7 linked regions of the Danio rerio genome follow. The protein of the gene in region 7 purifies or fractionates together with the protein of the main gene of each other region. This does not show direct contact. Links are inferred from orthologs where the notes say so. Each region holds a gene or a part of one and is shown on either strand. Other genes may lie near its edges.

What was found.
Region 1: the proteins of ilk (region 7) and gcn1 purify together in Homo sapiens (affinity purification with mass spectrometry; 3 studies listed by BioGRID and IntAct, with this or other methods). This does not show direct contact. The link is inferred for Danio rerio from reciprocal best matches to the Homo sapiens genes ILK and GCN1.
Region 2: the proteins of ilk (region 7) and raf1b purify together in Homo sapiens (affinity purification with mass spectrometry; 3 studies listed by BioGRID and IntAct, with this or other methods). This does not show direct contact. The link is inferred for Danio rerio from reciprocal best matches to the Homo sapiens genes ILK and RAF1.
Region 3: the proteins of ilk (region 7) and cct4 purify together in Homo sapiens (affinity purification with mass spectrometry; 4 studies listed by BioGRID and IntAct, with this or other methods). This does not show direct contact. The link is inferred for Danio rerio from reciprocal best matches to the Homo sapiens genes ILK and CCT4.
Region 4: the proteins of ilk (region 7) and rsu1 purify together in Homo sapiens (affinity purification with mass spectrometry; 9 studies listed by BioGRID and IntAct, counting the BioPlex papers as one, with this or other methods). This does not show direct contact. The link is inferred for Danio rerio from reciprocal best matches to the Homo sapiens genes ILK and RSU1.
Region 5: the proteins of ilk (region 7) and cad purify together in Homo sapiens (affinity purification with mass spectrometry; 4 studies listed by BioGRID and IntAct, with this or other methods). This does not show direct contact. The link is inferred for Danio rerio from reciprocal best matches to the Homo sapiens genes ILK and CAD.
Region 6: the proteins of ilk (region 7) and dpm1 purify together in Homo sapiens (affinity purification with mass spectrometry; 3 studies listed by BioGRID and IntAct, with this or other methods). This does not show direct contact. The link is inferred for Danio rerio from reciprocal best matches to the Homo sapiens genes ILK and DPM1.

Annotation. Positions count from the first base shown.
Region 1 is NC_133183.1:4,931,287-4,934,786, reverse strand, and holds part of gcn1 (stalled ribosome sensor GCN1), read right to left. Parts: intron 3,337-3,500; coding exon 3,228-3,336; intron 1,064-3,227; coding exon 1,000-1,063; intron 1-999. UniProt on the Homo sapiens protein: Ribosome collision sensor that plays a key role in the RNF14-RNF25 translation quality control pathway, a pathway that takes place when a ribosome has stalled during translation, and which promotes ubiquitination and degradation of translation factors on stalled ribosomes.
Region 2 is NC_133186.1:558,494-561,993, reverse strand, and holds part of raf1b (RAF proto-oncogene serine/threonine-protein kinase), read right to left. Parts: intron 3,272-3,500; coding exon 3,159-3,271; intron 1,281-3,158; coding exon 1,178-1,280; intron 1,105-1,177; coding exon 947-1,104; intron 1-946. UniProt on the Homo sapiens protein: Serine/threonine-protein kinase that acts as a regulatory link between the membrane-associated Ras GTPases and the MAPK/ERK cascade, and this critical regulatory link functions as a switch determining cell fate decisions including proliferation, differentiation, apoptosis, survival and oncogenic transformation.
Region 3 is NC_133176.1:57,146,744-57,150,286, forward strand, and holds the end of cct4 (T-complex protein 1 subunit delta), read right to left. Parts: intron 3,234-3,543; coding exon 2,999-3,233; exon of another isoform or gene 2,607-2,998; intron 2,062-2,606; exon of another isoform or gene 1,963-2,061; coding exon 1,849-1,962; intron 630-1,848; coding exon 615-629; 3' UTR 501-614; downstream 1-500. UniProt on the Homo sapiens protein: Component of the chaperonin-containing T-complex (TRiC), a molecular chaperone complex that assists the folding of actin, tubulin and other proteins upon ATP hydrolysis.
Region 4 is NC_133199.1:36,141,978-36,145,477, forward strand, and holds part of rsu1 (ras suppressor protein 1), read right to left. Parts: intron 703-3,500; coding exon 570-702; intron 1-569. UniProt on the Homo sapiens protein: Potentially plays a role in the Ras signal transduction pathway. Capable of suppressing v-Ras transformation in vitro.
Region 5 is NC_133195.1:42,094,526-42,098,025, forward strand, and holds part of cad (multifunctional protein CAD), read right to left. Parts: intron 1,911-3,500; coding exon 1,786-1,910; intron 1,687-1,785; coding exon 1,553-1,686; intron 1,080-1,552; coding exon 967-1,079; intron 846-966; coding exon 595-845; intron 1-594. UniProt on the Homo sapiens protein: Multifunctional protein that encodes the first 3 enzymatic activities of the de novo pyrimidine pathway: carbamoylphosphate synthetase (CPSase; EC 6.3.5.5), aspartate transcarbamylase (ATCase; EC 2.1.3.2) and dihydroorotase (DHOase; EC 3.5.2.3).
Region 6 is NC_133198.1:23,420,724-23,422,725, reverse strand, and holds the end of dpm1 (dolichol-phosphate mannosyltransferase subunit 1), read right to left. Parts: coding exon 1,945-2,002; intron 1,862-1,944; coding exon 1,747-1,861; intron 828-1,746; coding exon 723-827; 3' UTR 501-722; downstream 1-500. UniProt on the Homo sapiens protein: Transfers mannose from GDP-mannose to dolichol monophosphate to form dolichol phosphate mannose (Dol-P-Man) which is the mannosyl donor in pathways leading to N-glycosylation, glycosyl phosphatidylinositol membrane anchoring, and O-mannosylation of proteins; catalytic subunit of the dolichol-phosphate mannose (DPM) synthase complex.
Region 7 is NC_133185.1:29,715,479-29,718,978, forward strand, and holds part of ilk (integrin-linked protein kinase), read right to left. Parts: intron 2,691-3,500; coding exon 2,594-2,690; intron 2,436-2,593; coding exon 2,352-2,435; intron 1,005-2,351; coding exon 919-1,004; intron 800-918; coding exon 690-799; intron 1-689. UniProt on the Homo sapiens protein: Scaffold protein which mediates protein-protein interactions during a range of cellular events including focal adhesion assembly, cell adhesion and cell migration.

The sequences.
Region 1 (3,500 bases), on a different chromosome or scaffold from region 7:
TTAAGCTCACGCCTATTCATAAATATTATGTCTACTCCCTCTTTAGTAAAGAGTTTTTGAATTAATCGAAAACAACATAAAAGGATATATTGCTCTGTTTTTTTCATAAGGAACTGTTGTTATTGTTTTTGTTTTTTTTTCCCTGGGAATTGGAGGAATTACTGTGAAATATTTCTAACAGCTACTGTAAATTGCATCTCTTTGCAATAAAAAAACTTAAATTTAAATCTAAATATTTAAAAAAAGGTTTTATTAAGATGGATTGTTTGTGATTGGAGGGGATGTTGGCCTGAATGTGTAGCTTTACTTGAGCAGAGGGAAATTAAGACCGGTTTAAAAAAATCATTTAAGACACATAACATAATATTTCAGTGAATTTAAGACTTTTTAGGGTCTAAAATTTAGTTTTTGAAATTTAAGACTTTAAGACCGCGGACACCCTGTTATTTAGTTTAAATTCATCCTTTTATATACGTAAAATGTATTTAGATAATGCTCACGCAGTACTAATAATGTGAGAGCATGAGTTTGGCCTAGGACAGAAAAGAAGTAAAGACAACTAACTCATATTTAAGTATACAGATAATTGTTAAACTAATTTTCATGACTTTTCCAAAACTTTGTGGGTTTTTCAGATTTTCCAAAACCTTTCTAGGCCAGGAAAATGCCAAGAAATGCCTCAAAATTCCATGACATTTCCAGATATTTCAAGACTGTATGAACCCTGGTCATATATTAGACGGACGGACAGACAGACAGACAGATAGATAGACAGATAGATAGATGCTAAAATTAACACAATAAACCCAAATCCCCGATATTCTATCACCTGGACAAAAACTACACAAATTCCCTAACTCAATGTCTAAAATACGCCTTTCAAAAAGCCATGACCTGTGGAAACCGTTGTATAGCACTTTGAAACCACTTAAATTGTGTTTAAATGTGCTTTATAAATGAATGTTGTGAATTTTGATGAGAAGAAACACACACACTCACCTGTATCTGTGCAGCGTGAGATAGAAGAGTCTGCACAGTCCTTTGATGGCCGGCTCTGGAAGCTCTGAACAAACAATACAACACAAAGAATTCAAATTAAATACTTATTTATTTCACCAAATACATTTGGATTTGTTTCTCAAGAACAGCTCAAATAAAATGTCGTCTAAATATGTTTCTTAAGCATCAAACAGATATATTAAAATGATTTCTGAAAGATCATGTGAGACTGAAGACTGGAGTAATGATGATTAAATAATAGATTTTTTGTCACAAATATAATATATATATTTATATATTTTAAAGTATATTCTAACAGAAAACAAATATTAGAAACTGTAAAAAAAAAAAATAAAAAAAAAAGATTAAATAGTACTGATGAAATCACGGTTGCATTTGTGCATTTGTGGACCCTGGACCACAAAAGCCAGCAACAAGAGTTCAATTTGTGAAACTGAGATTTAGACATCATCTGAAAGCAGAATAAATAAGCTTTCCGTTGATGTTTACTATAGAATAATATGCTATGGAATAGGACAGGATGATATTTAGTTAGTCGCCTCATAGCAAGAAAGTCATTGGTTTGAGTCTTAGTTGAACCAGTTGGCATTTTTGTGTGGAGTTTGCATTTTCTCTCCGTGTTGGCGTGGGTTTCCTCTGGGTGCTCTAGTTTCCCTGACAGTCCAAACACATGCACTATAGGGGAATTGGATGAACTAAATTGGCCGTAGTCTATGAGTGTGAATGTGAGTGTGTATGAGTGTTTCCCAGTACTTGGTTGCGGCTGGAAGAGTGTCCGCTATGTAAAGCATATGTAATGGCATATAATATAAAATAAACATATAATAGCCGGCGGTTCATTCAGCTGTGGCGACCACTATTAAATTAGAGACTAAGCCGAAGGGAAATTAATTAAAGAATATTTAGCAAAGCTGCATCTGATCTAATTACTGAATGAATCACCTTCAAATTTGTCTAAACGAAGCACTTAGCAATGTGCATTAATCATTTAAAACTTGTTGATCTATTTACAGTAGGACATGTACAAGAAACAACTCGGGGTTCTTGCACCATTTTAAAAGTAAAATTTAATGTTTTTAAGACATTTTTAAGACCTCAACAAATATAATTTAAGACCCAAATATTATATAATTTCTTTGGAATAGGCTACTCATTTTAATGTTTTCGTTAGATTAAAATAAATTGTGCCTCGTCACAGTATGGATAACCCGCAGATAACCTGCCTTTTGGGTGTGTGGTGGTGAAATGAAACTGTTATAGCTGACTGTGAGGGGGCGTCTGAACTAGAGCTGTAATCAGGCTATGAAAGGTAGGCCCGATAGAGCCCGAACCCGACAGGTACATTTTGATTGACAGCTTTTTAAAAGCCCGAACCCGTTTATAGCCCGACATTATCCAAATGTGTACATGCACAGCTCTTTTGTCTTTTTCATGAATGAGTTGTTTATATGCGTTAACATTACTTATCCATAACATAGGCTACAGGCCAAGTTGGAAAAAACAAAATAAAATAAGCCCCCTGTAACATCTTAACATCTCAACACTCTAAATAGGCCTGGGTACATACACTTAACGTTTAAATTGGCCAACACACCAATAAAAATAAGTATTTCTTAGCAAATGAATTAAAATAAATGATAAATGATGACGGATTTTTGGCAATAACGAAATTAAGATAAAGGCTCAGTGGGATTTGTTTTGCCACTTCACTTCACAATAATGCGATGGTGAAGCTTAATAATAAAAGAATAATGCCAGCATTAGCCTGTACACTCTGCATACATTATGATTTTATTAATATTTAGTTATAATTTGAAATTCTTTACTCATCAAGATTAGGTTATGTGTTTTGTGGGGGAACATTATTGAATCCACTGTAAATGGCTTTAGTGCAGTCCTTCGCTCACTGAGCAGCACTGAACACCTTTTCTCTGCTGCTGCTACTGGCCGGGATACACTTTGTCAATTGTCATTTTGACCCACATAATGCATTTCACCTCATATTAGTCAAACGTAAATCATTGTGCCTTACCAGATAAAATATTATTTATTCAAAATAGATAATAAATAAATCCTGAACCACATTTATTAAACCAATACATAAAGCTTTGGTGATCAAAAAAGACTGTTTTTCACAACTAATTAATGCAAACAAATATACATCTTTTTTTTATCTGACACAACACACCAGCAACAGGTAAACTCACCCTTTCCCTTCACACATTCCTTCAGTTCTCCAAGAATTTCTTTGCGCTCTTTAACACTGGATGACGTGACTTTCACAGCGAATCTCTTCAGTGTGTCTGAAACCTGTCCCTACAAAGACACACACACACAACATCAGATGACCACTAACACGATACACTTTCAGAGAGACTAGCAACCAAACAAAGACATATAAATCCCATATATTCATACCACATTGGAGCTTTTTAGATTTGTACGCATGTTTACTTACGTTTTTTAATCACAGCACATTT
Region 2 (3,500 bases), on a different chromosome or scaffold from region 7:
CAGATAAATTAGGAAATAATTCATAATTTTATGTTGATTGGGATGATTTAGTATGACCATTAATCAGTAAAAATGAAACACAGACAGTGCTTTATGGTTTTCTGCAGAGTCTAATTGCATTCAGGTACAGAAATCTATTAATTCAATGTAAATAAAAAACACTGCATAGTTGTATAAAAACGTACATACAATTAATCTTTGATAAAACTACAAATGCTATAATTTCATATGCACCTACTTGAATTCGTGAAGCTACAGGCCATAAAAATGAGGCAAACAAGCAATTTATTAAGGTTAAACTTCCCCAAAAGTGAAGTAAGTACTCCCTTCAGGGCTCCTCTGACAAATTCTATAAAACTTGGACCCCGATTTACACAGTTTTTGACTCTTTGGCCTCATTAGATTCTGACTGAGATGGTCAGGGGTAAACTTGTCTTGATGTTGGACTGTGCCATCTGCTTGTGTGAGTATTCTCCCTGAATTATATTCATGTTATTTTCTTCCCCCCTCCCCCTTTTTAAGTTTTGTTTTAGTTATTTTTATGACATTTATGGACCATATACTTTAATATAAAGTTTCACTGTTTATTTCATGTACATTTAAAAGAGTCTGTAGAGATTTCTCATTTCTCCCGGGAGGTTTGTGGGTGGGTGTGGGTATGTAACGTTGGATAGTTCTAGTTTGATCTTGGGCTTAACAAAAAAAAAAGGAAAAATGCAGACATTGTATTGTTGTCTGTTGTGTTTTTTCTATATTTTACCTGTCTGTGCAATAATGTATATGTTAAAAAAAAGTTTAAGCTTCCCAATGACTATACAGTGTGGTTCCTGGTCAACTATAATCCCTCAGATTTCAACAGGATGAATAAACTGACATTGCAGATGCTGCGATGTGACGATGTGGATTTGCACATCGTGGTGCCGATGCTGAACACATATATACTCACAGGAGTTGGCGAATGTTGCTCCAGTCCACACACATGGTTGGCACTTTGGTGCTGCAGTGCTCGTGAAACTTGTATCCGCACGTCTGACATCTGAAGCCGTGCAAAAGAAACTTCTGACAGATGTCACAAAAGGCCAACTTCAAAAATGTTTTGCGTACCTGAGAAGAGGACGGGCAAATGTTAGAGCGATGCCGAACACCGCATCCACTCACATGCGTTACAGAAACTCACAAAATTGTGCGTGGTCAATGGCACGTGATCTAAGACTTCAACCAGCAGCTCCTCTCCGACCAGTGAGGTAGAATCAGTGCTCCAGTCCATGCGCAGCTTCTTACTGCACAGAAAACAAAGCATGAACGGACTCTGAGATGCAGGTTTATAATCAGGTCCTGGTAATAACACAGAACACTTGTGTGCATAAGTATTCACCCCCTTCAAGTCAAGCGTTATTGTCATTCAGCTACATGTGTGCATATAAGGTGGAACAATATGCCAAGTCTAAACTAGTGCAGAGCCTAAACTAAACACAATTAATCTCATCTGAAATAAAAGTTTGTTTTGACCATGTAAGTGTGTGTGCTGTGCATATGTATTGTGTGTATATAAAGACACACATGCATGCATACATTTGAGAAAATGTTTATTTATATTTAGATATGCTATATAAATGTTTACCTTACAAATTATACATGAATTTTAATATTTATGTAACAACATAGTTTTGTATAGTTTGGTTTCCATGCATTATAAATATACATCATACACACACATTATATATATCATGTCAAAACAAACTTCAATTTTGGATGCAATTAATCTTTGCGCAGCATTAGTCTAAACATAAACAATCATGAATATAAACACAACACTGGACGTAAGAGCAGTTTTTAAAACCTACACATGTTAACATACTAGACATACTGATCTGACCACACACACATTCTATAAATGTACAACATATGTACTATATTCAATCAGTATTTAGCACATGCACAACTCATTCAGAATATCCCTGCAGTAGGGCTGTCGCGGTTATTAAATAACCTAAATGTGGTTATTTAATATAAATGTGGTTTTATCGGATGACTGTGACTGCTGCAATTCCACAGCAAATATAGAAATGCAAATGCAATTTGCATATTAATTTTAAATCATTATAATTACACATATGAACATATTGCTTCGAATGTACTAAATATTAACTTTATTTACTGTATATTTTCATATTTGGCCATAAATACATATATACATATATACATATACATACATATATATATATATATATATATATATATATATATATATATATATATATATATATATATATATATATATATATATATATATATATATATATATATATATGGTCAAATATGAAAATATATTTAGGAATAATCTGTCAATAAATAAATAAATCTGTAAAAGTTTAATTTAAAAAAATTATATATATATATATATATATATATATATATATATATATATATATATATATATATATATATATATATTTTTTTTTTTTAACAAATATTATTCCCACCCCAGCACAAATTAAAATTATATTTATTTAACAAAGAAAACCTAAATAAATAAAAATTACTAATGATAATAATAATAATAATAAATAAATAAAAATAATTATGTAATTAAAATGAATAAATTCTAAAAAAAAAAAATTTAAATAAAAATAAATAAAATAAAATAGAAAAATAAAACATCCGTACAGAATACGTATACTTATACAGAATATATATATATATATATATATATATATATATATATATATATATATATATATATATATATATATATATATATATATATATATTCACAGTATGTCTGATAACATTTTCTCTTCTAGAGAAAGTCTGATTGTTTTATTTTGGCTAGAATAAAAGCAGTTTTTAATTTTTTAAACACCATTTAGGGATAATTTTATTAGCCCCTTTAGGCTAATTTATTTTTGATATATGATCTAGAGAAACTGAGTACTATACTGGAAAATGAGCATCCATCAGCCAATAAAGATCTGTATTAATATAATGTTCAATTGTATTTATTTTATTATTTATTACAGGGGGGTTAATAAATGTTTACGTCCTTCATGTTGATGGCTTCATCCAAACAGTAAATGCATGATAGACACTGCTGTTAATGATATCACACATGTGGGTCGCTCTCATTGTATTATTTTATTTCATATTTCAGAACTTACGCAGAATGTTCCCGCTGAAGCTTGAAAACAGCACAGCATTCAGGCTGAAGACCTCGAACTTTCAGGGCTTTGATGAGACAGTTGCGCAGCGTCATTCCTGCTCGCACGTTCACCTATTTCAACACAATTTCAACATATTCAATAGAAATGAGCATGCATCCTGAGCTACACAGATCAACACATGGATATGAAAGCAACATTGCAGAGGGCATTGTGTTTTATTTAGCCATATTTTTGGTGGATCTGCAATCATTTGCTTGAATTAGTATTTTATTAATGTTTATTTAATTATTACTTGTATCAGTAATCAAACATTTTCCCTGAAGTTCTGACTGAAGTGAA
Region 3 (3,543 bases), on a different chromosome or scaffold from region 7:
TGAGCCATGTCCTAAAATACCAGCATTCAATTTTGTTGCTACAAGATTTCCTGTAATTAATAAAAATTATACACTCATTAAAATTACATTTACCAAAATGTATAAACCCAACCATTAATATTATGCGTATCCTCATACCAAAATAAGCTTCTTTTTTAATTCAAAAGTTCAGAAAAATGTACTTACATAAATTTAAAAGCAGACCAAATACTGGTTAAAATCACGTTACAGGGAAATACCAAGTTTAGCAAATTAGGTTAAAACACTCTAGCGCATTTCTAAAATAAAAACAAAGGTTGTTTATTAGAAGAGTGAATGTCCAGCTCTTGATTTCAGACTTTCTCAGGCCCTGGAGCAATGCTCTATTCTGATCAGATAAGGTGATTAGCTAATAAGATTAAGCTGACATGCAGAGATGCACCGACCACAGTAAACCCTCAATAAACCTAACAGAAACAAAAACATGTGCACAAATAACACCAAAGACAAGACATACAGTGTCAAAAAAAACATGTTTAATTAAATTACTCCAGGTAACATCTACAGACAGCGACAGATCAGTTGGTCTTATCGGAGTGCCGGCGCGGGGTTTGGATCTTCCTTCTTCAAACACTTTATCGTGTGTTCACCTGCAGAACAAATGACATGGCATTAATGGCTGGATAATTACAGACAACATCAGTGCTAATTTAAGGGTCATTTAAGATGAGGCACAACAGCCATTTTTTATACAATGATCAGCTTAAGGATTTCTCAATGCGTAGAGTAAATAAAACATCCAAAATACACTTGTTTCAAATGTATTACACTGTAATAAATGGAGGGTCTACGCAATTTATTCATGTTGTCCCAACACAAATTCATTAAGTTAAGTTGATTGAACATAAAACAACCAAGTTGTCCCAAAAAAATAAAAATAAAAATAATTGTTTCAGCTCAATTTAATTTAGTTTAAACAAACACCAAAATTCATTCATTTTAAGTGTATATTACATTGTATATATACACATACATCAAAAATGCTTCTGCAATACTTTATAAAATGGCATGCCAATAAAGCAAACTGAACTTGAACTATGAAAACACGTCAATAGACCATTTTGAGAGATGTAAACAAAAACAATGGTCCCGACATATTTCCTGTTTTACATGTTTAATTTCTATATATATTTCAAGAACACAAAAAGAGCCACATATTAATAATTAATGTTATGATACCCGTTTTAACATTAAGATATGATTGAACTGCCTCTTGTTAGTTATGAAATAGTTTAATAACAAGCAGAAAATGTTAATGGGCCAAGACATGACTACATTGAAAAGGTCTATATGTTACCGTATGTTAGGGATGCATGATATTGGAAAAAACTGGCATTGTGATATATTGTTTTTCTGCGGTATGAACATTATTTCACAAGATGACTATTTGGAAGAATTGCTCATTTTAAATTGACTAGAATTATTTGTAGTTGAGTGAATCTGAAAAAAATATAAAATGTGCAAAATAAAATAAAGCAACAGAACCAAAATAAAAATGAAATTAACAACGCTTTATGGTTTTCAGAGGGACTTTAACAGTACTAAACTATAAAAATTCAATAATCAAATGTAAAATAATACTGCATAGTCTTTACTTTAGTCTATTAAATAATTAAACATAATTAATCTTTGTTAAAGCACCAAACTTATTGTGCCCAAATGGTTTAAATTCACTTGATGTCGTACAGTCACAGTCCTTAACAACACATCTTTCGTATTATTGGAGTTAAACTTTGAATATCCTGAACTGTGTTTCTGGCTATATCCCAATTAGACAGATTTGCACATCAGATGTAAAGCGTGACTCACGAGATCGTCGATCTTGAGGATGCTGCGGACCGTTTCAGTGGCGAGGGTCAGAGCGCTGATGGAGACCAGCAGAGGCTGAACCACCAGCTCCTCCAAGATGTTGGAAATGCCCCCCTAAGAGGAAAAACACATCAGACACTCACATTTCTGTAGAAACACAGTACACTTCCTGATAAACTGGGGGCCTTTTTTCTGATATAATAAGAGTTGCGCCTCAAGGCTGATTTATACTTCTGCGTCAAACGCACGCATATGCTACAGCGCAGCTTACGCGTCAACGCATAGCCCTACGCTGTGGCCGTCGCTGACGTGCTCCTCTCAAAAAGTTTAACTACACGTCGCAACGATGCATAGCGGAAGCTCTATGATTGGTCGGCTTGGTATCGCTGTCGAGTCTAGGCGGGACCGAGAGCTTGATGGAGCAATTGTTTACAAGTGTGGAGTCCCGTGAAGGAGCTCCGGATGGAAAGTTTTGTTTTGTGTTTACCTCATAGTTAAAGTTGTTGCACGTTCGCCGGTTTCTGCCTCAAAATGAGCGAGTTTGAGCCACTTGTACATCCCGGAAGCATTCAGAAAGTACAAAACACCAGCGAAGAAACTCATCACAGAGACACATTTACACCTTACTGCCAACTAGCGTTTTGGAAGTGTTAATGCAGACCAACCGAGACAGCGCGCAGAAGTATAAATGCACAGCTACGCGCACTGCATGCGCTGTTGGTTCCGCCGGTCACTTGACGCAGAAGTATAAACCAGGCTTCAGAAGACGAAACACCATTGGAGGTTTGAGATGCTCAAGACAGTGCTGGGGGTAATAATAATACTGAACCACTGTAATGACAGACTTTGGCTGAGGGATTTTAGAAAGACCTTAACAACATTTCTGATGTTTTACAATGTGCTCGAAATGCTGTTTTGTCCTTTAAAGCCATGGTGTCTATTTTAACACATCAGTACTCTCTGATGAACGTGATTGGCTGGCGTTTGCACTAGTATTGATAAAAGCAATCTGATTGGATGATGCCAATGGGTATGACTAAAAAGTGGTCATAAACATTCTCAATTCAAATAAGTAGCAGCTAAGACCTGGAAACTGTATATGTCGTGACTTAACAAGCGAATATACAGATCTACTGGTTTAAAGCATCACCTTGCGGACGTTGATCCCGGCTGTCGTTTCACCCTGAGCATGTCTGTTGCGCAGCTCGGTGACAGTGGAGATGGGATTGAGTCCTGCGTTCTCTGCCAACGTGGAGGGAATGACCTCAAGGGCATCAGCGTACGCTCGCACACAGTATGCCTCCATGCCGCCCAGACTGCGGGCGTATTCGGCCAACCGCAGCGCCAGCTCGATCTCTGGTGCTCCACCGCCAGCAATCAGAGCTCTGCAGATAAACAGCAGTTAGCAAGAAAATCAGATACAGAAGAATAATGATACATCTGATTTATTAGGAAGAGTGATACTAGCAAAAGTTGGAAAAAGGGTAAAAATTAAGAGACTTCTCTGGATTTACAATTTATATTTGAGAAAAACAGAATAGTTTTATTCCATAAACTACTGATGACATTTTTCCAAATATAAAATAAGATTTTATTAAACAGTATTATCTTAATAAATAAATGAAAAAATAAAATTATATATATATATATATATATTTTTTTTTTTTTTTATTATTATTTTTATTTACAATTTGG
Region 4 (3,500 bases), on a different chromosome or scaffold from region 7:
AACTAAAAACATCTGGGACATTGAATCACTTGTTTAAATGACTCATTCAAAAACATTCATTCATGAGATTCATGAGATGAGAGAAAGAAATTATAGGACTATTTAAAAAATAATATTAAACTAAATCCAACAATAGGTGCCAGTAAATTGCAGCTTTAATGAGTGAGTCATTTGAGTCATTCTTTTAAAATATGCATTCCAAAAAACTGCGACAATGAATTACTTTTTTAAATGATTCATTCAAAAATGCAGATTCATTCACCAACAAAACTAAATTGTACATAAGAACCTTAGAAACGTTCTGCTCTGGGTTTGTTTGGTGAAAAGGTGCAAAGTATCGATATTTTGTGTGATAATGACGAACATTTTTCGGTCAGTAATTTTTCACGGACAAATGGAAAACTTGACAGTGTCTAGGTCACCAGTACTAGAGATTAAACCTTCAACCTTTATATGAATAAGTACAATCCCTAAACACTGAGCTACTGTATTGTCTGTGTAACTCCGATTCACAGCACATGCTCCTGGACGTTTAAACTCAGCGAAGAGGAATGGAGAGATTCACTTACTACTTGTAGGTCTCGGAGCGGATGTACTCAAAGACATGAGAAATGCCCAGCTGGAACTGGTCTGCGATGGGAGTCACCCAGGAGTTATTCTCAGCCTTAAACACTTGCTTGGGTCCCGTCAGGTCCAAATTACCTACAGGCACAGAGTGAGAGAGAGAGAGAGAGAGAGAGATTTAAATAATCATTTTAATTTAAAAAAGTGTAAGTGGTAGGGGAGGTCAGATCAGACAAGAAGGTGAAGACATGAGCAATAAGACGATTCAAAGAATTAAGTTAATATAAGTAGCATTGAAATGGCATGAGAGAAAATTTGGAAAAGAAAGAGCAGACAAAAGAAAAAGAAAAGAAACCAGAGAAGCAACCTGATAAGGGTTAATAAGATGAGATAAACAAAACAAGATGGCAATATGAGACATGAAGAGATTAAATTAGATGAAATTGCAAAAAAAAAAGAAAAAGATCCGAGATCAACCAAAGTATTGATGAGAGAACAAAGGTTGAGATGTAATGAAAAAAGAGAAAAAACCTAACAAAACAAGAAAGAAATAAAAAGTCCTAAACTAATAAACTAATTAACAAAGAATATGAGAAGATAACATTTAAGATTAAATGTACAACAAAATAAGGCATGAGATGAGAGAAAGTCATGAGATAAAGGCGATGATAGGTGAAGAGACAAAACAAGAAACGAGAAGAGACAAGTGGACAAAAGAGAAAATGAGACAAGATGGGATGAGGTGAGACATTAATAAACAAGAAGAGACAAAAGGAACTGAGACAAGGAGACAAAAAGAGAAATGAAGAGAACATATGAGATGAAAAACAAGAAGCCAAATAATAAACCAAGAAAAAATTTTGAAGAGTTATAAGTATACAAAATGAGATGACAAGATGAGAAAAGATGAGATGAGACAAAACGACAAAAAGACATGAAATCAAAATATGACAAAACAAGTAATTAAACGATGAGATGAAAAACAAGGACACAAATTGAGAAAAGAGGAGACAAGGATGAGAGACAAAGAAACAAAACAAAAACAAAGAAAAAAATGAGATGAGTCAAAAGGAGACAAAATGAGAAATTAGGAGCAAAGACGAGTGAATAGTTGAGAAATGAATAGACAAAATAAAATAAAACACAAAGAGACAAAACAAGAAATTAAAAAAATAGATGGAAAAACAAGAAGACAAAATGAGAAACATTGCCACAATGAGATGAGTCACAAGGAGACAAAATGAGAAATGAAGACACAAAATAAGGCAACCCACAAGTAGACAAAATAAGAATCAATGAACCAAAACAAGACCCCACAAGATGAAACAATGAACAAAACAAAAAAATGGTGACATAACAAGAAAAGACAAGGAGTCAAAATGAGAAAAGGCACGATGACGAAACAAGGAAGTCAGGACGTTACCATACAAGGTGCTAAAGTACAATATAAAAACACTCGCCTTGTATAGAGACGAGATGAGATGGAGAAAGAAAAGAAACAAGAGACAAAAAAAGAGACAAAAAAAAAGAACAGACAGAAAAGAATAAAGACAGGTAGAGCCCAAATGAGACAAGAGACTAGACAAATGGAGAAAATAGGAAAAGTCTAGTGATAGCCTAGTGGTTAGCGCGCCGACATATGGTGCAATAGCACGTCAGGTCGTCGCAAGTTCGAATCCCGACTCGGCGACATTTCCCTACCCCCCCTATCTCTCTCCCACTTCGCTTCCTGTCTCAATACTGTCCTATCTAATAAAGGCAAAAAGGCCAAAAATAAATAAAAAAAAAAAATTGACTGCAAATTTTTATTTAGTTTTAGTCGTAGTCTTTTGACTCATTTTAGTTTTAGTCTAGCTTTAGTCAACTAAATTTCATAAGATTTTAGTCGACTAAATCTACTCTAGATTTAGTTGACTAAAATATATTTGGGTTAATTTGAGTGTAATTGAATTAAATATTGTACACATTTATTTATATAAAATATTCAAACTTAAAATAAAATAAAAAAAAAACAGTTATTAAAATATTGAATAAAAATATTGAATAAAATATTGAATAAAATATTGAAAGCTTTTCCATTGAAGACCAAAAATTAGATATGCATTGTTTATTTGTATCATAAGCAATTTGTAGAATTATGTGTTGGCAAGAACAGTAGACTACTGCAAATGTAAGACTTTGCAATTGTTTTGCAATCTGTTTATTTTAACATGGTAAACTACACGGCTTTTTACCTAGTCTGCTGAACAGTTTCATGCAATTAAATCGTTACATGGGCTTAAAATAGTTTAAGTTCACTTTGCAATGTCAGTCTATAGCAAGCTTTACAGGTGTAGTATGTTTTTACAGTACATGGTGCTCAGATGTATAGCACTGAGTAAATAAGTAATGACATATGACTGGCAAATAATAATGTGCAATTTTGAAAAATGTGCATTTAATCCCATGGCTCTGTTAACTCACATAAAGTTAAGCTAGGAATTATAAAGCTAAAAATGTATGTCAAAATTAAAAGTGTGCTTCATTTCAAGGCAGTTTCTTTAGAATGCGACTCCCTGTTAAGCGGAGATTATAACACTACAGTATCATTACATCATTACAGTAAGAAAAAAATCCCATCCTGAATGAAGCAGTTTTTGTTTCGTGGTAGAGGTACACTGTAAATGGCTGTTGTCATGGCGAAAGCGGCAGACGCAGACAGCGCACATGATCCTAGCGGGAGTTGGATCAGGCCAGCTAGACTGCAGCCGCAGCTAAAATGAAACAACTCTTCACGAAAATGAATGCCATGATCATGTTACCGATTTAATAATGTTTAATGTACAACCTAATGGCATCTAAATGTCAGCGAGAGGCTACACCATTTCAGTTAAGCAAGCACACACTCGGGTAAATAAAAAAGATCGAGTTTACAGTAAAGTTCGGGATGATTCCCA
Region 5 (3,500 bases), on a different chromosome or scaffold from region 7:
TGCTCTGCTGAATCTGAAACCTTGCAGCTACAGTTGAAGTCAGAATTATTAGCCCTTTTGAATTTTTTTTCTTTTTTAAACATTTCCCAAATGATGTTTAACAAAGCAAGGAAATTTTTACAGTATGTCTCATAATATTTTTTCTTCTGGACAAAGTCTTATTTGCTTTATTATGGCTAGAATAAAAGCAGTGTTTAATTTATTAAACACAATTTTAAGGCCAAAATTATTAGCCCATTTAAGTTTTTTTTTTATAGTCAACTGAACAAATCATCATTAAACAATAACTTGCCTAATTACCCTATCCTGCCTAGTTAACCTAATTAACCTAGTAAAGCCTTTAAATTTCACTTTAAGCTGTATAGAAGTGTTTTGAAAAATATCTTGTAACATATTATTTACGAGTAAAATTTAAAAGAAACAAAATGTACACAATTTAGTTGAAATGCTTTACTATGTAACTTTTTCCAATATTTTGCATGAATTTAAATTTATTATCCCCCCCCCCACTGCACCACCACACACACACACACACACACGCACACACACCCACACACCCGCACACACACACACGTAATAATAGTACATTCCTACCTTTGCACAGCTTGAGCGATCTGTTTGTCAGAGAAGCCCAGTTGCTTGGCTTTCCTCATGATTTCTGGAGGCATTGCACTCTCATCCTGCTTATACGTCTCCAGAAGCTTCTTGTGGTCTGCGATGTTCTTCATCTTATGCAGAAACCAGTGGTCTATCTTGGTCAGCTCATAGAGCCGCTCTACTGTATATCCAGCATGCAGAGCAGCTGCCAGAACAAAGATGCGCTTGTCTGTGGGAGTCTGCAACTCCTGAGAAACAAGACAAAATATTCTATAGTTAAGTTTTATGCATTTGTTTACAAGCCTAATGCACAAAAAACATGCATCTCCTTTGGAAGTAAGATTAAAGTTTTGAAACTTAAGTACCCACCTCTTCCGACTCTGGCTTGATGGTGTGATCGAATCCAACGCAGTTCTCATCTACCATTCTCAAAGCTTTCTGGAAGGCCTCTTCAAAGCTGCGGCCGATGGCCATCACTTCTCCTGAGATGAAAGAGAGTGCTGGATGAGTTCTCTATATACTGGATACTTGTGTTCAGCACAGATAGCACCTTCTCAATGGCAAAGGGAACAGGCTAAAATTTTACAATCTTAAAATTCATAATCTTGTTTTAATACATTGATACTTTTCCTTTGCTAGTGAAACATTTAGAGACTCAACATAATACATATTTATCCTGCTATTTTTTTCTATTAAATTCATCATTTCTATAGTGCTTTTACAATGCTGATTGTGTCAAAGCAGCTTAACATGGAAGTTTTAGTAAATTGAAACTGCTTTAGTCCAGTTTTGCCAGTTGAAGTTCAGTTTAGTGCATTGTAAGGTTCACTGCTGAAAAGCCAAAACCCTGAATCCAATGATATGCAGTTCTAAACCAAAAATAGCCAATGACGAGGAAAAAGCTTCACCAATTGATAAGAGTGTAGGACCAAAAACACACACAAAAAAAACTCACCAACACTCTTCATGGAGCTGCCTATTTTAGTGCTGACTCTGAGGAACTTGCTTAAATCCCAGCGAGGAACCTTCACCACGCAGTAATCCAGACTGGGCTCAAAGTTGGCGGTTGTGGAATTAGTCACTGAATTTCTGGAAAATAATCACTTATAAGCAACTTGCAACAAGATAACAATACACAAATGTGCAGTTAGAGTCAATAAAACAGCAAATGTTAATAAAAGAACTCACTTGAGCACGGGCAGAGGGATTCCCAAGCTGAGTTTAGCAGCCACGTAGGCCAGCGGGTAACCTGTGGCCTTACTGGCCAATGCAGAGCTTCGAGAGAGACGGGCATTGACTTCAATGATGTAGTACTGTTAAAAAATAAAACATTATTTCTTAAAACATTAACTTAAAAAATTATAGGACAGACCGGTCATTGATTTTTTTTGAGGTGTTAGTATAACTAGTGTAAGAAATATGCAAGTTTTTGTGCAATATGCACAAATATAAAAAAGCTTGGGTGCTCCAAAACAATGCCATAATTTACTTTAGAAAACTGTAGCTGTTTCTGAAATGGCACACTATACACATTACACTTATGCACTATGTACTTATGCAGTTACACACTCTACAGCATAGTATATGCATGTAATGTCTTCTCAAATGGAACACTAAAGTTTTTTACTAAGCAGAAATTGAAACAGTTTTACAGATGACGTTTGACAGTCAAACTACCAAATAATACCTGCTATGAGCATAACCACATTCACCATTGGGAGGCGCTACAATTACTCTCATAGAAGAATTTTGCTTTTACAATCTAAAATAAAGTAATCCAATAACAGTGCTTGAAAGCTCCACCTCTTCCGTTACCAAGTGTCCAACATTTCACACTTGATTTGAACGGTTGAATAAGTGCATCGTCTGGGTATTTAGGTACACTTAATCTTAGAGTTCAGTGTAAACGCACTACTTGCACTATACTACAAAATGGCAAAGAATAGTGCATAAGTATGCGATTTGGGATGCACCTTTAGTGCGCCCGTCCACTGTTGAGTTTTCACGAAGCTGAAAATGTCAGCGACCTCAGTTGAGCACTTCAATTATTGCATTTTGCTTTTCCAATTATTGGAGATTTTAAAGGTCCCATGGATTTAAAATAAAGTTTAGTTGTTAGAATCAGTATTATTAGTTTTTAGGACATCTACAAGCTAGTGTGCACCAAAACAGTGACACATTCACATTTGAAGATAAAAACTGATACAAATATGTAAAACTTGTTTGTCACTTCCGCCAAAATCTCATGTCACCTCATACTTCAGTTTCTCATCAAATCTGGATCAATCGAATGCTATCTAGTTTCTGACATGCCCCACCCCCTTCAAGATGCTTCACATTTGATGGAGTTGAGCTCAACCTCTCTTAGTGGCACAGAGGTGATAAGAGGTAAAAATGCTATTAGCTGCTATTTAAAAGGGGAGAAGCTACACTGTGTACCATCCCTCTTCATGTACTGGTTGAGATTGCGTTAAACTGAATGAAAATGCACATTTCAAATCATTTCACGAGACCTTTAAAAAACTGAAAGTTCTCAGCACTTGCCATAAACCTGAGAAAATAAACACTTCGGTGGACATGCACCTTTAAGCATTCAAAACTTTGTTTCTCCCTTCTGCCAAAAAAATCAACATTTTATAACATCAAAAAGCACTTCAACTTCTAATCAGAACTACTGACAAAAGAAATGCTCACTATAATCTGAAATATCGCATCCCCTGTAAGACACAACTAAAATCAGTCACTTATTCTTGCATAACTGAGTGTTCGATTAAACATAAGAAAATAATAAGATGGTTACCAACACTGTATATATGCTGTATGTTAAAGTGGAGAAATGGTTAGGCAGGCTCAGCACTGCTATTATAGATTGTAGCTGTTATTAATCAGATGTGCTTTAGCTC
Region 6 (2,002 bases), on a different chromosome or scaffold from region 7:
TCATTTGGGCACTCTAAACCCAAAGTGAATGGGCAATCCTGACTGTGAGGGAGGAGACAGATCGGAAATTGATGGCAGTGGATCATGGGATGTGGCATACTGTTTTCCTGTTTCATTGACTGATGAGTGACCTATTTTATAATTCAGCCTCATCAATTTGATTCATTTTAAATCCAAAGTATTGTCATAAATTATTTTATATCAATTGGTTAAAATACCTTTTTATAACCAAAATGATTTTGGAACAATATTTTTTTTATTTTAAGACATCTCTATTGCCATTCGTAAAGGTACAAAACAATACATGTGAATGCTCAAATGAATATTTAAAGGGTTTTCACAGAAATTCAGTTTGAGAAGCATTTTGAGAAGAACATTTCAGTCATTGAATGAATCCAGTTTGTAGGGATGAGTTCATTTCTTAATAGAACCACAATGATGCTTTTTATAGCCTAAAAACATAGTTCATATGAAATAAGTGTTAGTACTTCAAAAACTAGCTCTCAGTTTGGTCCTTTTATTACAATTCAGAACATTTGAATGTACATTTCTAAACATTGCCTAGTAATTAACAAAACTAAGTAGAAGGAACGTGGTAAATCCAAGCATAATGACCTCATTACTTGGTAATCAAGTAATTATTCTAGCTTCTCGCTCCACTGCAGTGATAATAAGCGCTGATCATACATCACAACACTAAATGCAACCAAATAGGTCAAAGGTCATGTAGTGGCAAAAAGAGTGAGCAGTCCTTTCAGGAAGGAGACGATTTCATTTCCACCTAATTTGGACTCTCCATAAACACGGTCCACAAATGAAATGGGAACCTGAATAACAGACAAAAAAAAAAAAAAAAAGCTACGTTAAGAAATCGATCAAATAAACCATTCTGCTACTATGAAACAGAATGAAAAACAAAAGTGTTTGTATTAAATATAGTACAGTGACTCATAATTTCCAGCTTACAAAATAAGAGGCTTTTACACTTTTTCACAGTTCCTAGAACCATAACATGGTTTCTGGAGTGTTCGCACTGTAGGAACTGGGAATGATTTAAGTTAAACAACACTGTTTTATTGGACTAAATTAGCTCCTGGATTAGATCAGGGTGTAATCCATCAAAATAGCAGCTACAGTGATGTAAACCCTGGCAGAGAATTTGAATACACATTCACATAATATGGGCAACACGGTGGTACAGTGGTTAGTGCTGCCACTTCACAGCAAGGTCGCTAGTTTCAGTCTCGGCTAAGTCAGTTGGCATTTCTGAGTGGAGTTTGCATGTTCTCCTCATGTTCGTGTGGGTTTCCCCCACAGTCCAAACACGTGCTGTAGGTGAATTGGGTAAGGTAATTTGTCTGTAGTGTATGCGTGTATGTCCTGATCCTTCAGATTGGGGGTTGAGCATTGAGCTAACAATTCATATCCTAAAAACTAGATGTTTCCAAACACCAATATGATGCGACCAAATATCAACTTTGATATAAAAGCCTTGACATAATCTGCATTATCATGAAACATCTTTGTTATTTTGATGTCACTGTCAGCATGGCTTACATCACCTTAGATTTCCTGCTGGCAGTGGGGAAATACGTTTTCGATGAACAGGGCCTAGCAGTTAGTTTCAGTAACTACCCAGAGCAAAATGCCACTATAGTCCAAGTATTACACAAATATATCTAAACCATTTTTTAAATAACTGGCAATAACTGCATTCATAGGAAATGTGGAAAGAGATGTGCTGACCTCTCCAATTGTATAGCCCAGTTGTCTGGCCCGGACAATCATCTCCATCTGGAACACATAGCCTTTTGACACACACTGCTCCACTAGTTTTTCCAGAACCTCTTTCTTATAGAGCCTAAAACAAAGAACACGTTATTTATAATGACAATACAGTTTATGAGAAGTAATAAGACTGATTTCTTTATAAACATGCCTCACCTAAAACTCCCAGTAAGATCAGACGCTCCTGGTCTGAGCAGAACTTGTGTTACAAAGT
Region 7 (3,500 bases):
TGAAAGTAGGAATATACAATATGAAGGTTTTTGACTTATAAATGAATAAAATTATTTTAAAAGAAATTTCACAAATTATTTTAAAGAAATTTAACCAGAAGAAAAAAACAACTGTGAACATTATTATTGATATCATGTAATAATTAATAATACTATTATTACAAAAATACACATTACAAAGTTACTATATTTATATGTGAAATTTGGAATAAATATTATCAGATCTTTATCAATAAAACAAATATTAACTTTTACTTAAATAACTAATAAAAACTGAGAATTTTCAAATGATCTCTTCATTTTTTTCCAAATCTAAATATTCATGTATTACAGTTAGAGAAGAAAAAAAAGTACATTAAAACAACTGCAAAGCCCAAAAACAGACAATGATTTGTCATTATCGCAATAACTAGCAGCCAAATGTGATAAATGTGCCCTTTTTAACATTTTTTAAAGATATTATAATATACTTTATTACTATTATTATCTTTATAACAAATTAATTAAAACAATATTATCATTTAAAAATGATTTATATTATTCATATAAATATTGATTTAAATATAATAAAAATAATATTATAATATAATAACTGTGGTTCTGTATGTCATTCATTATTTTACACATTTTGAGGGAAACTGTCTTTTTAATTTGTGTAATGTGACCACACAGGACTATTGGTTCTTCACCTTAGTTTAGGGTACTCCTCATTAAAGTCTCGGCTCTTTCTGGTGGTCCATTCCCGCACATGCAGCATCTTGACCACAATCTCTGTGCCCTGCCAGCGGCCCTTCCACAGCTGCCAGAGAGCGATTGAGAAAGAGAGAAAGCAGAGGCATCAGTGTTTCCGTCATCAGCACTCTCAGACTTGGCCAGGATACTTATTAAAGTTTGCTTTGGTTTGGTAAATGAGCTCACCTCGCCGGAGTGGTTCTCGTTGATCTTGTTCAGCATGTTAAGCTGCTTATAATCTATGCCAGCTTGCTTGTTTAGTGTGCCATTACCTGCAGGAAAAAAAATAATGTTAAAAAAACATAGCAACAAACCTTAGTTAATAAGATAAGGCAATATACAACTGAAGACTAAATTATTAATTCTGTGAATTTTTCATTATTTTTCATTTTAGTTTTTTTCTTTTGGGAAAAAAGTCTTTTATTTTTTTCATTTTTGGCTGAAATTCAAAAAATAATATTCACAAATATAAAAAACTTTATGGTAAATATTGTAAGCCCCAAAATAATTAGTATTTTTTGATAGGCTACAGAATAAAGTGCTGTTTTACAATAACTTGCCTAATTAAACTAACTTGCCTTAACCTATTTAACACAGTTAAGTATCTGGCGAAACACTAGTATATATACAGTAAATACAAGTAAAATATTATGTACAGTCAGCAAAGTTACTAGAAAATAGCCATTAAAACTGTAAAAATATATCTTAGACCCTGCTTGTTAAACATCAATTGGGAAAGATAATTTATTTAACAGGAGGGCAAGCATTTATTTTTGTCTTTAACTGTATATGTGGCCATTCAACAAAACTAGTGCAAGAAAATAAATAAATAAAATAATAATAATTCAAAAACACTTACACTACAGTAAACAAACTGTAGATATTTACGAATACACAATAATATTTCATTTAGCATTAAGTTCAATATAAAATTATTTTTAATTAAATAATAAGTTTTTATAATTATTGTGTAATATATTGTGTACATGTGTATATATATAAAATATAAATAATTTTTTAAAAATTATTATTGGAAATTGACATCCATACATATATCTATACATTTTTATAAGTATTATTATTTGCATTTGTTGTTTTATAAAAAAAGTCTTTACAACAAGGTTAATTTTTTTTCATTTTATTATTTTTTATTAATACGAATAGAGTAATATTTAATAAAATAAAGCATTAGTAGTGTAATTTAGCCCTGACAAATTAAATATTGTGGTCACTTTTAAAACACTGCCATCATTTTTGAACTTGAATGGGATGTTACAAATTTGAAAATAATTTTGTTTCACAAAAAAAAATATGTGTGTGTGTGTGTGTGTGTGTATATATACACACACACACACACACACACACACACAAACACACGCACGCACGCACGCACGCACATATATATATATATATATATATATATATATATATATATATATATATATATATATATATATATAAACTGTGAGTTATCAACTTAGATGTTATGATATTTGTTTGCTCAATGTAAGTTTAGACTAATGAATCCTTACCTTTGAAAGCAGAATGATACAGTAGATGATAATAAACTGCTTGCATCTGCATTAAAAATGTAAACGAAACTCAGAGGTTTTGCTTACGTGGTCGTGTTCGAGTTGTTCCTTTCCAGAAATTGTCCTTGTAAGGGACTTTTGACAGGCTCTGTCCTTGTTTCTCTGCCAGGTCTGATTCATAAACATAACAGTGATAGATATAAGAGACAATGGAAAATATGTTAACAGAAACAGATCTCTGAGACTTCACAAGGTTAAAATAAAAACATCATACAAAAGCACCGCTGATGTCAAATTACTGCATTATTAAATAAAGAGAGAGTGCTTACCTTTTAGATTTGCTGCAAGCGGTGGTTTGGCCTTGTCCATTGGAGTTTCTCCATACTTGTTGCAGATGCTCACCTGAGCTCCATTACTGACCAGATCCTGGAGACGTGACCAAACAGTACAACCAACCAATGAGTACCAATGTTCAAGCATTTCTTTGATGATTCTGCTAATGTTAACCTTTATGAACTATATGTCAAGATTTGACTTCTGAAAATGAAATGGAGCTGAAAATGTTGTTTTACAAAACAGTCATTATTACAAGGTTATTTTAGTCTAATAAATAATAATATCTAAAAATATTTTTTGTTAACTGAAAGTAATTAACAATGGAAAAACAAAAAATTCACATAAAAAAACAAGTGAAAAAAAAAAAACTCAGCAAAAATATTTATGTCCTTTAGAATTAATAAGCAGTCATTCTGTGGCAGAAAATCTGAGCTGCTGTAATATATAGAAGTACCTCAAGATGGGGCTTTTATAGTTGAACGCATCAGTCAAGCACATGATTATATATACCTTCTTAATTATAAAAATCTTCCATGTATTTTTAATCCTTGACAAATGTAAACTAGGCATGTTTAACTACATATATTATCTCTAAAATCAAGATTTATCGTTTTATCTGCATTTAAGGTTTACGGTTCGGTGTCTTTTCAAACAAATCTTTCATTTAATACCAAGAGGTAATTTTTTTTTAAACTCTGTTAAACTAAAATGATTAAAACTAAAACTGAAACTAAATATATAAAAACTAAATAAAAAGTGTGTTTAAAGATACAAACTAAACTAAAACGAACCAAAAAACAAACATTAATGAAACAAACTAAAACTAAACAGTAATAATTGAAATAAAAAACGAATTAATAAATCATAATTATAAGAACCTTGCATAATTGATTTTTTTAA